2 linked regions of the Anolis sagrei genome follow. The main gene of each other region encodes a partner of the protein of the gene in region 2 in a complex. Links are inferred from orthologs where the notes say so. Each region holds a gene or a part of one and is shown on either strand. Other genes may lie near its edges.

The links. Proteins that work in one complex are often made in the same cells at the same time.
Region 1: the proteins of GLB1 (region 2) and CTSA are in contact, whole or in part, in a cryo-EM structure (PDB 7KDV), measured with the Mus musculus proteins. The link is inferred for Anolis sagrei from reciprocal best matches to the Homo sapiens genes GLB1 and CTSA. Residues at the interface, in NP_033882.1 of Mus musculus: Tyr198, Asp199, Arg202, His206, Leu229, Thr233, Leu234, Gln235, Asp236, Leu237, Lys258, Phe259, Glu260; in NP_001033581.1 of Mus musculus: Glu29, Asp31, Ala37, Lys38, Gln39, Pro40, Ser41, Phe42, Arg43, Tyr107.

What each region holds. Positions count from the first base shown.
Region 1 is NC_090024.1:248,826,461-248,833,788, reverse strand, and holds the start of CTSA (lysosomal protective protein), read left to right. Parts: upstream 1-4,319; 5' UTR 4,320-4,417; intron 4,418-6,315; 5' UTR 6,316-6,318; coding exon 6,319-6,491; intron 6,492-7,328. UniProt on the Homo sapiens protein: Protective protein appears to be essential for both the activity of beta-galactosidase and neuraminidase, it associates with these enzymes and exerts a protective function necessary for their stability and activity.
Region 2 is NC_090026.1:75,373,978-75,381,383, reverse strand, and holds the start of GLB1 (beta-galactosidase), read right to left. Parts: upstream 3,002-7,406; 5' UTR 2,979-3,001; coding exon 2,919-2,978; intron 1-2,918.

The DNA.
Region 1 (7,328 bases), on a different chromosome or scaffold from region 2:
ACCCCACTCATGGCTCTGGAAGGTCTCGCCTCCAGCATCTGGGGAGAAGTAAATAAATAAAATAATAAAGAAATAAAGAAATTTGGAGAAATAACAGGGCTATTTGTTTGTTTATTTATTTATCGTGTCAGTATCAAGCAGACAATTGTGTTACATTTATAACAAACCGATAAAACACAAAATTTGCAAGCTTGGTAGTTGATGAAATGTCCTTTGACCAGTCTCTGGCCCCTTGGAGTGCCTCTGGTGTTCCTATAAGAAGGTCCTCCCATCATGTGCCAGGGCTCAGGTTGCATTGCAGCAGGTGGTCAGCGGTTGGCTCTTCTCCCCACTCGCCTACACTCTTTACATTCCAGGTCAAGAGGTCTGACCTAAGCTGAAGTTTGCCCAGGCCTTGCCTAGAAACTGAATCCCCTGAGGATTCCTGGCAAATTGGCAGGTGACTCAAAGACACACAAACAGGTTGTGCCGTCCGCCCAGACGATACAAAAAGTAAAACTGCAACGTGCTTCTCTCTATGTCTGAGCGAACTGCAGGTGTCTATCTTGAGAAGCTTGAGATACTCAGCAATTGAGACTATCCCTGGTTTTAAACATCAAAAAAGGATATTTATTTACACAAAGTCCTTGAAGACTTGGCACAGTTCATCACAGTTGCAAACAGTCAATAGATGAAGCTACACAAATATTCTTTCTTTCCTATAGTTACAGAGGTAACCCTTTCTCCAGATGGCAGATAAGATCCTGGAATCTTAACACCCTCACCTTAAGCTGTTGTGGTTTAGAAAAAAACAGGCTTCTTCCCTATCTGTAACTTAAGGTCAGTCCTGGAGACAAAGCAGTCACAACTCTCTATAACTATATAACTCAATCTTCTTAATGAAGCTTATCCATCTATAATATCTCAATACACCTCAATACACAATATACTATCTATACTAACTTGGTTTAGCTTAATACTTACCTATAGAGTACTTTTTGCAATGGTTTTCCCAGAGCTAACTGCTTAGCCATCAGCACGTCCTGAAGTCTTTCCTCTAAACTGAAAAGGCAGGGGAGAATCTAAAATGGGGATCTTTCCCTGGGAGAAAAGGCGGTCCCTAAACTCAAAGAGCTGCTCTCTAGGCCAATGGTTGCAAAGAGTCCTGCAGACTCTGATACTATTCACTTTTAGGACTCTTGCAAAGCTGCAGCAGCCCTGGGAGAAAATGCAAGAGGAAGCAACCTCAAGCAACTTCAAAGTGAGGCAAATCAGGCTCCTGGGAGACGGAACACAGGTAGAATCCCACCTGGGCCCCTTTCCTCAAATACTGCAGGCAAGAGCCTCCATTGTGTGGAGGGGGGAGGGGAAGCCCTATGGACACCACAGGGTTCTTCCGTCCTGGGCCCGGTCCTGTTCAACATCTTTATTAATGACTTAGATGAAGGGTTAGAAGGCAGGTTAATCAAGTTTGCAGATGACACCAAATTGGGAGGGAAATGCAATACTCCAGAGGACAGGAGCAGGACTCAAAGGGATCTCGACAGATTAGAGAGATGATGGGCCGAAACTAACAACATGAAGTTCAACAGTGACAAATGCAAAATACTCCACTTTGGCAGAAAAAAACGAAATGCAAAGAGACAGAATGGGGGACAATGAGGCCTGGCTTGAGAGTTGAACAAGTTGAACATGAGCCAACAATGTGATGTGGCGGCAAAAAAAGCCAATGGGATGTTGGCCTGCATCAATAGGAGCCTAGTGCCTAGATCTAGGGAAGTCCTGCTCCCCATGCTCTATTCTGCCTTGGTTAGACCACGTTACCTGGAATATTGTGTCCAATTCTGGGCACCACAATTCAAGAGAGATATTGACAAGCTGGAATGTGTCCAGAGGAGGGTGACTCAAATGATCAAGGGTCTGGAGAACAAGCCCTATGAGGAGCGGCTTAAGGAGCTCGCATGTTTAGCCTGAAGAAAAGAAGGATGAGAGGAGATATGATAGCCATGTATAAATATGTGAGAGGAAGCCACAGGGAGGAGGAGGGAGCACGCTTGTTTTCTGCTTCCTTGGAGACTAGGACACAATGGAACAATGGCTTCAAACTAGAAGAAAGGAGATTCCACCTGAACATGAGGAAGAACTTCCTGACTGTGAGAGCCGTTCAGAAGTGGAACTCTCTGCCCCGGAGTGTGGTGGAAGCTCTTTCTTTGGAGGTTTTTAAGCAGAGGCTGGATGGCCATCTGTCAGGGGTGCTTTGAATGCAATATTCCTGCTTCTTGGCAGAATGGGTTTGGACTGGATGGTGGCCCAGGAGTTCTCTTCCAACTCGAGGATTCTAGGCTTCTATCATTCTATGATTCTATGACTTCATGAGGTTGCCACCCATGGAGACGTGCCTTGGATGCACACACAAGCAAGGATTGCCATTGCCCCGATTCCTATCACCCAGACACCATTAATTAGAGCAATCAGGCAATTAATTATGACCCCGTTCATCCCACGGGAGGCCAGAAGGGAGATCCACACCCTTGGCAGCGCTGATCCCAAGCTCAGGGGCGTCTTCAACACCAGCGGCTCCCAGCCTTTGTTTGACCCGGGACCAGTCTCTCCAGCATCAGGACCAAAAGGGTTTTGGTCAACTTTCGATTCGGTTTCATTATTTGAGGTATTAATTCAGAAAATTGCATTAGATGGACCACCTCAGCTCTAGTTTGTGATAGAGAACATCTGCCGCCCAGTAATTGCCATCTGCTCGTCCACAGAAACCCATCTGTAATCCGCCTTGGCACTAAAAGAGGGGTTTGCAAGACCAGTTGCTCTCACTGCAACCGTGTAGTAACGGTGAGGACTGTATTTTAGTTCTTGAAGACCGTACCTGGTGTCCAAGTTTGGTGTCAGTAGTTGCCACCTGCTTGCCCACAGGAAACCATGTTGAATAAGCCTTGGCACTAGAATCGTAGAGTTGGAAGAGACCTCCTGGGCCATCATCCAGCCCAACCCCACTCTGCCAAGAAGCAGGAAAATCCCATTCAAAGCACCCCTGACAGATACCCATCCAGCCTCTGTTCAAAAGCCTCCAAAGAAGGAGCCTCTACCACACTCCCTCCGGGGAAGGCAGAGAGTTCCACTGCTGAACGGCTCTCAGACGAGGGTTTGGCCAGACCAGTTGCTCTTGTTGCAACTATTGTGATATTTTAGTTCTTGTGGACCACAGCTGGCCCACGGAGCACAGGTTGGGAACCAGTCTTTCTCAACTGGTGGGTCCCTCCCTCCCCAGGAACTTTGACCTACAACTCCCAGAAATCCCAGCCAGCTGACCAGTTGTGAGGCTTTCTGGGAGTGGAAGGCCAAACCACCTGGGAAAATCTACATCAGGGGTCCTCAAACTAAGGCCCAAGGGCCAGATACAGCCCTCCAAGGTCATTTACCTGACCTTTGCTCAGGGTCAACCTAAGTCTGAAATGACTCGAAAGCTCACAACCACCACCACCACCACAATCCTGTCTCATCAGCACTCCAAATAAGAGATGTGCCGCTGCGTGCATAGGAATTCATTCATGCTTTTTTCAAATTATAATCTGGCCCTCCAAGAGTTTGAGGGACTTGTGATCTGGCCCTCTGTTTTTAGGAAGTTGGAGGGGTGGGTTTTCTCCAAGGGAAACAACCAGGTTCGTTATTGAGATGTATTTACAGGCATGCTGTTGTTGTTGTTGCTGTTCCGCCTCGTCCTCCTCTCTCAGAAGAGACTGGAAGCAGGCCACCAGGCTACACAATAACAACAACAACAACTAAGTTCTTGTGGTTTTTTTCCGGGCTATATGGCCATGTTCTGGAGGTAATTTTTCTCCTGACGTTTCGCCTGCATCTATGGCAAGCATCCTCAGAGGGAGTGAGGTCTGTTGGAACTAGGAAAAGGGGTTTATATATTGTCAAAGGCTTTCATGGCTGGAATCACTAGGTTCTTGTAGGTTTTTTCGGGCTATAGGGCCATGTTCTAGAGGCATTCTCTCCTGACATTTCTCCTGCATCTATGGCAAGCATCCTCAGAGGGAGTTAGGTCTGTTGGAAGTAGGAAAACAGGGGTTTATATATCTGTGGAATGACCAGGGTGGGACAAAGGACTCTTGTCTGCTGGAGCCAGGAAGGAATGTCTCAACTGAGCACCTTGATTAGCATTGGATGGCCTGGCTGTGCCTGGAGCAAACTCTTCTTGAAAGGTAACAACAATAACCTTCCTCCCTCCCTGCCTCCCTCCCTGAGGGTTCCAAAGTGCGCGCGCATCCGGGGGAAGGCAGTTCTGGCCACGCCCCCTGTGGTGGTCAGCTGACCGAGGCGCTCCCGCCCCCTCCCTCCCTCCCCTTGGGGAGAGTCACGTGAGGCTCCCGGGAAGACCCAGAAGCCGGAGGGCAGCCGAGCCAGGGAGAAGCAGGACGGAGTGAGTTCCCCATTGAGGGTCCTGGGGAGGGGAGGGAATCCCCCCCTTTGGGTTTGGGGTCCTGGGAGGGAGCTCAGCATAGAAAGAGGGAAGCAGGAGGGGTCCCTCTCTCTCTCTCTCTTGGGGGGGGGGTCCCCAGAAGAGCCCCCTTCCCCAGCCCCTCCCTCCCTTCCCCAGCCCACCCCCCCCCCCTTCTGGGTCCCCTGGCCTTGGAAGGCAGTGGGGGGAGGGTGTCCCCATTGAGGGTCCTGGGAGGGGAGGGGGGCTCAGCATAGGGGGGAAGCAGAAGGGATCTCTCTCTCTCTGAATGGGGAAGGGTCCCCAGAAGACCCCACCGCGGCCCCCTCCCCTCCCCCACCCAAGCCGAGTTGGGGGAGCCCCCCCAGTTATCCCCCAGCCCACCCCACCCCCACTCCACCCCCCTTCTGGGCTCCCTGGCCTTGGGAGCAGCCCCTTCCCCAGAGACTGGTGGGCTCCCTGCCTGCCTCCCACCCCTTGGGCCCCTCCTCTGGGCCCCTGCCTTCCAGCAGAGAGAGAATTGGGGGGGGGGCACCTCCATGAAATCCATGAAAGAGTCCTTGGGGTCCGCATGGGAGGGAGGGAGGGGGGAGGCCTCGGCCAAAAAGGCCCACGGGACGTTGTCCTGCACCCAGAGGAGCCTCAGATCTGGATCCCAGGAAGTCCTGCTTTGGCCAGACCACTTGACCGGTCCTCCCCCAGTCAGTCTCCCATTCCAGGCACCAACACTGAAGGGAGAGGGGGACCCTCCTCAGCTGGAATGCTGTGTCCAGAGGGAGAGGGAGACCCCAAGGAGGACCCAGGGGGGTCTAGAGAGGAAGCCCCATGAGGAGCGGCTCAAAGAGCAGCTGGGCGTGTTGAGCCTGCAGAAGAGAGAGAAGACAGAGAGGAGACAGGATGAAGGCCGGGGATCAAGAGGAGGAGAGAACAGGATTCCTCTCTGATGCCCTGGAGAGAGACTACGATGCCATGGAGGAATGGCCTCAAATGACAGGAAAGGAAGAACTTGAGGAAGAACTTCCTGACTAGGAGAGAGAGCTGTTCAGCAGTGGAACTCTCTGCTCCGGAGGAAGTGTAGTGGAGGCTCCTTCTTTGGGGCTTTGAAGCAGAGGCTGGGTGGCCATCTGTCGAGGGTGCTTTGAAGGTGTTTTCCCTGCTTCTTGGCAGAATGGGGTTGGACTGGATGATGGCTCACCAGGTCTCTTACAACTCTAGGATTCTATGTTCAGCAGTGGAACTCTCTGCCCCAAAGTGTGGTGGAGGCCCCTTCTGTGGAGGCTTTGAAGCAGAGGCTGGTTGGCCATCTGTTGGGGGTGCTTTGAAGGTGGTTTCCCTGCTTCTTGTCAGAATGGGGCTGGACTGGATGGCCCACCAGGTCTCGTCCAGCTTGAGGATTCCTCCTGGGGTGGCTTTGGCCAGGTCTGGGCAGCAGGGGAGTGATGATTCCAGGTGGAGACCAAAACAGAAGAGAGCGTGGCTTGGACTTAATAATAATAATAATAATAATAATAATAATAACAATAATAATAACAACAACAACAACAACACTTTATTTATACCCCCGCTACCACCATTTCCCCAAGGGGTTTGTTGCGGCTTACATGAGGCCAAGCCCAAACACAACAATACAAGTAATTAAAATAAAAACATAAACAGTAAAGATATGACATTATCAATAAGACAACATACAATTAAAAACAGTGGGAAGGCCAAATGGATAATTAAAATTGGAAATAGTGCAGTCTAGGATCCCATGGGCCTTTGGAGGTGCTGCAGCGCCACGCTCTCTGCTCACCCTCTGCTTGTGGTCCCTTTCTGTGTCCCCTCCCTTCCTTCCTTCCTTCCTTCCTTCCTTCCTTCCTTCCTTCTCTCCTTCGCAGGCGATGAGTCCCCTGTTTGCGCTGCTGCTGCCGGCGGCATTGCTGCTGTCCCTTGGGGCCAGGGCGGCTCCAAAAGGGCACGAGGTCACCTACCTGCCGGGCCTGGCCAAGCAGCCCTCCTTCCGGCACTTCTCCGGGTACCTGGACGTGGACAAGGACAAGCACCACCACTACTGGTCAGCGCTGGGAAGGGGAAGGCAATGTGGGGGGGGGGGTTGTGACTGGAAGGATTGGGTGGCCTTTGGGGGTCTCTTCCGACTTTGACATGGCATGGAAGGGGAGGAGAGGCACCTCTGGCCACCGCTTACCTGCCCAAGACTTTGGAGGCATATTTGGCATCTCAGATACAGTTAAGTGCAGCATAGACAGGGCTATCTATGTTTATTTATTTATCGTGTCAGGAGCAACCAGACAATTGTATTACATTTCTAACAGAACAAAACAAACAGACAGACAAAACACAAAATTTGCAAGCTTGGTAGTTGATTAGATGTCCTTTGACCAGTGTCTGGCCACTTGGAGTGCTTCTGGTGTTGCCGCAAGGAGGTCCTCCCTGGTGCATCATGTGATGGGGCTCAGGGTGCATTGCAGCAGGTGGTCAGTGGGTTGCTCTTCTCCACACTCACATGTCGAGGATTCCACTTTGTGGCCCCATTGCTTGAGGTTGGCTCTGCATCTTGTAGTGCCACAGCACAGTCTGTTCAGCGCCTTCCAAGTCACTTCCAGTCTTCTGTGTGCCATGGGGGAGTCTCTTCTTTGGGATCAGCCATTGGTTGAGGTTCTGAGTTTGAGCCTGCCACTTTTGGACTCTCGCTTGCTGAGGCTATCTATGTGAACCTACAGTAGGGAATGGGAGAGAAAGGAAGGGACCACCAAGCCCTCCTCAGAGATGGCCAGGCTGATGGGGGCTTCTGGGAGCTGAACTCCAAAACACCCCAAGGACCAACCGTTCAACCACTTTAGATGAATGTCAATACAGGTAGAGAGGAGTTATGTAGTTATATGGTTATATA
Region 2 (7,406 bases):
AAGGCTGAGAGGAGGCATGACAGCCATGTATAAATATGTGAGAGGAAGTCATAGGGAGGAAGGAGAAAACTTGTTTTCTGCTTCCCTGGAGACTAGGACACAGAACAATGGCTTCAAACTACAAAAAAGGAGATTCTATCTGAACATTAGGAAGAACTTCCTGATTGTGAGAGCCGTACAGCAGTGGAACTCTCTGCCCCGGAGTGTGGTTGAGACTCCTTCTTTGGAAGCTATTAAACAGAGGCTGGAGGGCCATCTGTCAGGGGTGCTTTGAATGCAATTTTCCTGCTTCTTGGCAGGGGGTTAGACTGGATGACCATTGAGGTCTCTTCCAACTCTGATTCTATCATTTTATGATATTAAATGGAATTGGTTAATGTGAGTTTTCCAGGCTATATGACCATGTTCCAGAAGCATTCTCTCCTGACGTTTCTCCCACATCTATGGCAGGCATTCTCAAAAGTTGTCGGGTCTGTTAGAAACTAGGCAAGTGGGTTTATTATATATCTGTGGAATGTTCCGGGTGGGAGAAAGAATTCTTGTCTGCCTGAGGAAAGTGTGAATGTTGCAATTGGCTACCTTGATTATAACTGAATAGCCTTGCAGCTTCAATGCCTGGCTGCTTCCTGCCTCCCAACAAATGATTCCCCCAGGCAGGAAGCAGCCAGGCGTTGAAGTTTCAAGGCTATTCAATGCTAATCAAGCTAGCCAACTGCAACATTCACACTTGCCTCAAATAGACAAGAGTTCTTTCTCCCACCCTGGACATTTCACAGATATATAAACCTCATTACCTCATTTCCTACAGACCTCACAACCATTGAGGATGCCTGCCATAGATGTGGGAGAAACATCAGGAGAGAATGCTTCTGGAACATGGCCATACAGCTTGGAAAACGCACAGCAAGCCAGTGATTCTGGCCATGAAAACCTTTAACAACACATTAAAGAACCATATAATGCACTTCAATGCCAGGCAAACTGCATTATATATGGTCAGTATAGAAGTAGCATTAGCAAAGCAAACTTGACTTTTGAGCACTTCCTAAAAACCAAGATGCAAAACAAAACAAAAAGCAGGAAGGGGAAGGAAAAAGGGGAAACACACTCCTATGGTGCTGCCCTTTGTGTCCAGCCACATGACCCTCATTCTCCCACATGACACGTGTCTTTTGGGGCACATGAGGATGCACAGAAACAAGGATAGCCGTGTGTGGCGTTGTCTAACCTCCCATTACGAAGCTTTCTTCAAAAGTCTCTCAGCAGCTTAGACTCCAAATCAAGCATGGGCCAAATTGGGCACTCCAGGTGTTTTGGACTCCAACTCCCACCATTCCTAACAGCCTCAGGCCCTTTCCTATTCCCCCTCAGCTGCTTAAGCGGCTGAGGGGGAAAAGGAAGGGCCTGAGGCTGTTAGGAATGGTGAGAGTTGGAGTCCAAAACACTTGAAGGGTCCAAGTTGGCCCCTGCCTGCTCTAATTACTTCCCTATAACGCGCCACGTCTACACGGTGGAATTAATGCACTTTGACACCACTTTGATCGCCATGACTGGGTGCCATGGGGAGTTTGAGGAGACACCAGCACTCATGGCAGAGAGGGTAACAAGACCTTGCAAAGCCGCAATTCGTGCGATTCCATTGCACTTGCTAGTAGTATCAAACTGCGTCAATTCGACTGTGTAGATCAGTGTTTCTCAACCTGGGGGGAGCAAGGAGGTGTCAGAGGGGTCGCCAAAGACCATCAGAAAACACAGTATTTTTCTGTTGTTTGTGGGGGTTCTGCGTGGGAAGCTTGGCCCAATTTTCTCATTGGTGGGGTTCAGAATGCTCTGTGATTGTAGGCGAACTATAAATCCCAGCAACTACAACTCCCAAATGTCAAGCTCTATTTCCCCCAAATTCCACCACTGTCCACATTTGGTCATATTGAGTATTTGTGCCAATATTTGGTCCAGATCCATAATTGTTTGAGCCCACAGTGCTCTCTGGAGATTGGTGAACTATAACTCCCAAACTCAATGTCAATGCCCATTGAACCCTTCCAGTATTTTCTGTAGGTCATATACACAGAAAATACTGGAGGTTGGTTCAATTCCATCATTGGTGGAATTGGTTCAATTCCAAGGTTGGTTCAATTCCATCATTGGTGGAATTCAGAATGCTCTGTGATTGTATGTGAACTACAAATCCCAGCAACTACAACTCCCAAATGTCAAGCTCTACTTTCCCCCAAATTCCACCACTGTCCACATTTGGTCATATTGAGTATTTGTGCCAATATCTGATCCAGATCCGTAACTGTTTGAGCCCACAGTGCTCTCTGGAGATTGGTGAACTATAACTCCCAAACTCAAGGTCAATGCCCACTGAACCCTTCCAGTATTTTCTGTAGGTCATGTGTGCCAAGGTTGGTTCAATTCCATCATTGGTGGAGTTCAGAATGCACTTTGATTATAGACAAACTATAAATCCCAGAAACTACAACTCCCAAGTGACAAAATCAATCTCCCGAACCTCACGTATCGAGTATTTGGTCCCATGTAAGCCACTCCGAGTCCCCATCGGGGAGATGGTAGTGGGGTAGAAATAAAGTTTATTTATTTATTTATTTATTATTATTATTAGTGCCCAGTTTGGTCCAGTGAATGAAAATACATTCTGCATGTCTGATATGTAGATTACAATACAGAACAGTAGCCAAATTACAGTGATAAGGTAGCAATGAAAGTAATGTTATGGTTGGGGGTCACCCCAACATGAGGAACTGGATTAAGGGGTGGCAGCACTAGGAAGGTTGAGAAACACTGGTGGAGATGCAGCCTGGGCATCTCCTTCTTTGCTGGGATTGGAAAGGGAGGGAATCAAACAGAAATAAGGCTCAGTCGTGGGAGAAAGGAGGGACGGCAAAGCGACTTACAGAAGATGATGATGATGCCAAAGCCGGGCAAAGGAGAGGGAGCAGGAAGAGGGCGAACATCTCAAGGCGGCTGGAAAGGAAACTAGAAGCCGCTTTCTCTTTGGGAGAGCTAGCCCACGCCTCAGCCGCATGACTCGGGAGTCAGCTGACCCGAGTGGGAAGGAGGGGAGCCTCCCTCCCACGCCATTGGGCGCCCTCTCCCCTCCTTGGAGGAGGCCAAGAGGAAGTACAGGCTATCCTTTCCCCACCTGATACTCCACTCCATGAGCTGTCTCTGCCGGCAGGGACATTCAACAGAAGAGGGCAGGAGACTCAGTCTGGGGCTTGTTGCAAATGAAGAAAATGTTACATTTTTAACCCGAGAGAAGAGTTCTTTAGGAAATTCTAGATCTTCCAGCACAACTCTATGGCCAATGTAAACTGGAAGTGAACACAAAATCTACCTTCTATCTATATAAATAAAAATATAATGTTAGTTCATGCTACCATCAGAACTCAAAAACCACTGGGGGAATTGACACCAAATTTGGACACAAGACACCCAACAGTCCAATTTATGTCCTCCACTCAAAAAAATTGATTTTGTCTTTTGGGAATTGTTGTTGCTGAGATTTATAGTTTACCTACAATCAAAGAGCATTCTGAACTCCACCAATGAAGGAATTGGGCCAAACTTAGCACACAGGGCTCCCATGACCAACAGAAAAAACTGGAAGGGTTTGATGGACATTGACCTTGAGTTTGGGACTTATAGTTCACCCACATCCAGAGAGCACTGTGGACTCAAACAATGATGGATCTGGACCAAACTTGGCATGAATATTCCGTATGCCCAAATATGAATACAGATGGAGTTTAAGGGAAATAGACCTTGACATTTGGGAGCTGTAGTTGCTGGGATTTATAGTTCACCTACAATCAAAGAGCATTCTGAACTCCACCAATGATGGAATTCAACCAAACATGGCATACAGGACTTCCATGACCTACAGAACACACTGGAAGGGTTTGGTGGGCATTGACCTTGCGTTTGGGAGTTGTAGTTCACCTACATCCAGAGAGCACTGTGGACTCAATGATGGATTTGGACCAAACTTGACACAAAAATTCCATATGCCCAAATATGAACACAGATGGAGTTTGGAGGAAATAGACCTTGACATTTGGGATTTGTAGTTACTGGGATTTATAGTTCACTACAATTAAAGAGCATTCTGAAACCCACAAACGACAGAAATTGGGCAAACTTCCCACACAGAACCCCAATGACCAACAGAAAATACTTAAGGCCATCCAGTCCAACTCTCTTCACCAGGGCAAGAAAACGTAATCAAAGCCCTCCTGACAAAGAACCATCCAGTCATAAATATAGATAGATAGATATGATTCTCACACACACACACACAGATATAGTATCATAGATTTGGTTTCTCATATATGTAATTTCTTTATGCTTGTTGTGGGTAAACAGTATTTCTTGTTGTTTCTTTGTCAGTGTTGATGTGGAGATTGTCTGTTTTGCCTACTCTAGTACATGCAACATATAATTGTCCTCCTTTAGGGGTCCCTCCTCAAATCTATGATACCATATGTCATATACATGTGTGTGTGAATCATATCTATCTGTCTATATCTATCTATGGCTAGATAGCTGTTTGTCAGGAGGGCTTTGGTTATGTTTTCTCGCCCTTGTGAAGGGAGATGGACTGGATGGACTATAGGCAGCATTTCTCAACCTGGGAGTTGGGTCCCTTGCAGAGGTCTTAAGGTGTGTCAGAGGGGTCACCAAAACTATCAGAAAACACATTATTTTCTGTTGGTTATGGGGGTTCTGTGTGGAAAGTTTGGTTCAATTCTATTACTGATTGTTGGTGAACTATAAATCCCAGCAACTACAACTCCCAAATGTCAAGGTCTATTTTCCCCAAACTCCTTCTGTGTTCATATTTGGGCATATGGAGTATTAGTGCCAAGTTTGGTCCAGATCAATCATTGTTTGTGTCAACAGTGTTCTCTGGGTATAGGTAAACTATAACTCTAAAACTCAAGGTCAATGCCCACCAAACCCTTCTACTGTTTTCTGTTGGCTTTGGAAGTCCTGTGTGCCAAGGTTAGTGCAATTCCATCATTGGTGGAGTTCAGAATGCTCTTTGATTGTAGGTGAAGTATAAATCCCAGCAACTACAACTCCCAAATGACAAAATCCATTTTTGAGTGATGGTCACTCCTTGGGTTAGTAGGTATCTTTTGTCCAAATTTGGTGGCAATTCGTCCAGTGGTTTTTAAGTTATGTTAATCCCACAAACAAACATTACATTTTTATTTATATAGATGCTCTGTTCACTTTGAGTGACATCATAACTCTTAGTATTTACCGATTCAATCAATGAATCTGCAAATGCCTGATTCCAAAGCCAGGATTTCAGTTTCTTGCTGAAGGTCAGGAGGGAGGGGACAGACCTAACCTCATTGGGGAGAGAGTTCCATAGCCGGGGGGCCACAGCAGAGAAGGCCCTGTCTCTCGTCCCCACCAAGCATGACTGCAAAGGTGGTGGGACATAGAGCAGGGCCTCTCCGGAAGATCTTAAAGTCCTTGATGGTTTATAGGGGAAGATACGTTCAGACAGGTAAACTGGGTCGGAACTGTGTAGGTTTTATAGGTTAAAACCAGCACTTTGAATTGTGCTCAGAAGTTAATCGGCAGCCAGTGGAGCCGGTGTAACAGGGGAGTTGTGCCTTTACCCAACCTGGCTGCCAAGCGTTGGGCTAGTTGGAGCTTCAAGGCAGTCTTCAGCGGCAACTCCACGTAGAGTGCATTGCAGTAATCTATCCGGGATGTAACCAGAGCGTGGACCACTGTGGCCAAGTCAGACTTCCCAAGATACTGGTGCAGCTGGCACATAAGTTTTAACTGTGCAAAAGCTCCCCTGGCCACAGCCGAAACCTGGGGTTCCAGGCTCAGCGATGAGTCCAGGATCACTCCCAAGCTGCGACCCTAGGAAGGCAAAGCAGCCCAACAGGAGACCCAAGGGGCACCTCTCCCTTGAGCCCAGACACTTTGGTTTTGCAGTCACATCCCTCCAAACTACCCTTGTTACTGCAGGCACATTCCTCAGACGTTTCTTTGAAATTTCACCAAAGCCAAGATCATTTTGCCTGCCCAGAGTTGGCATGAACCTGCAGAAAGTTTGAACCCTGTGGTACTCTATGGGATATTGGCATGAGTTGGGTTTCTCTTTTGTTCTGCTTTAAATAAAATGTGAGTCTTTTGGGACGTGTTGCTGTAATGCAAGTGTAAAGGATGAAAATTAGGCCAAAAAAAATGCCTACAGCACCCGGTATTCCCAGGCGGTCTCCCATCCAAGTACTAACCAGGCCCGACCCTGCTTAGCTTCCGAGATCAGACGAGATCGGGCGTGTTCAGGGTGGTATGGCCGTAGGCAGACGCTAAGCTTCCTTTTCCCCTCTTCAATCCCAGGCTGCTCCGTCACCGTGATGCAAGACAATGTTTCCTATTGGTTACTGTCACCAAAGCCCGCCCTCCTCAGAAACAATCCCTACAAGCCTACAGGCAGCCCAACCTATCTGTCTCCATTCTTTTGGCTTAGGCCCTCCCACCTCCCTGCCCTTTCCATCACTCAGGCCTTTCAAACTCAACACTCAGCTACTGCTTTGCATTCAAGCTCTGCCTCTCCCAGGCTGCCTGCGCATGCGTGGTAAGGAAGAAATAGCCAATCACTGGGATGAGTTTTCCGGGCTGTGTGGCCATGCTCCAGAAACATTATCTCCTGACGTTTCTCCCACATCTAAGGCAGGAATCATCAGAGGTCGGGAGGTATATTGGAAACTAGGCAAATTATGTTTATATATCTCTGGAATGTGCCGGGTGGGAGAAAGAACTCTTGTCTGTTGGAAGCAAGTGTGAATGTTGTAATTAACCATCTTGATTAGCATTTGGTGGTCTTACAGCTTCCAGTCGTGGCAGATTGCACCCTGGGGGAATCCTTTTTTGGAGGTGTTAGCTGGCCCTGATTGTTTCATGTCTGGAATTCCCTTGTTTTCTGAGTGTTCTCTATTTACTCTCCTGTTTTAGATGGGTTTTTTTAAAAAAAACTGGTAGACAGATTTCTTTTTCATTTTCATGGTTTCTTCCTTTTTGTGGAAATTGTCCACATGCTTGTGGATTTCAATGGCTTCTTTGTGTAGTCTGACATGGGGATTGTTAGAATGGTCCAGCATTTCTGTGTTCTAGTATAGTATGCCGTGTCCAAGTTGGTTCAAGTGTTTTACTATGGCTGACTTCTCTGGTTGAGTTGACCATCAAATACTAATCAGGTGATTAATTACACCATTCACATTTGCCTCCAACAGACAGGAGTTCTTTCTCCCACGCGGGACCTTTCACGGATATATAAACCTCCCTTGCCTTGTTTCCAATATACTGTACCTCACAATCTCTTGAGGATGCCTGCCATAGATGTGGATGAA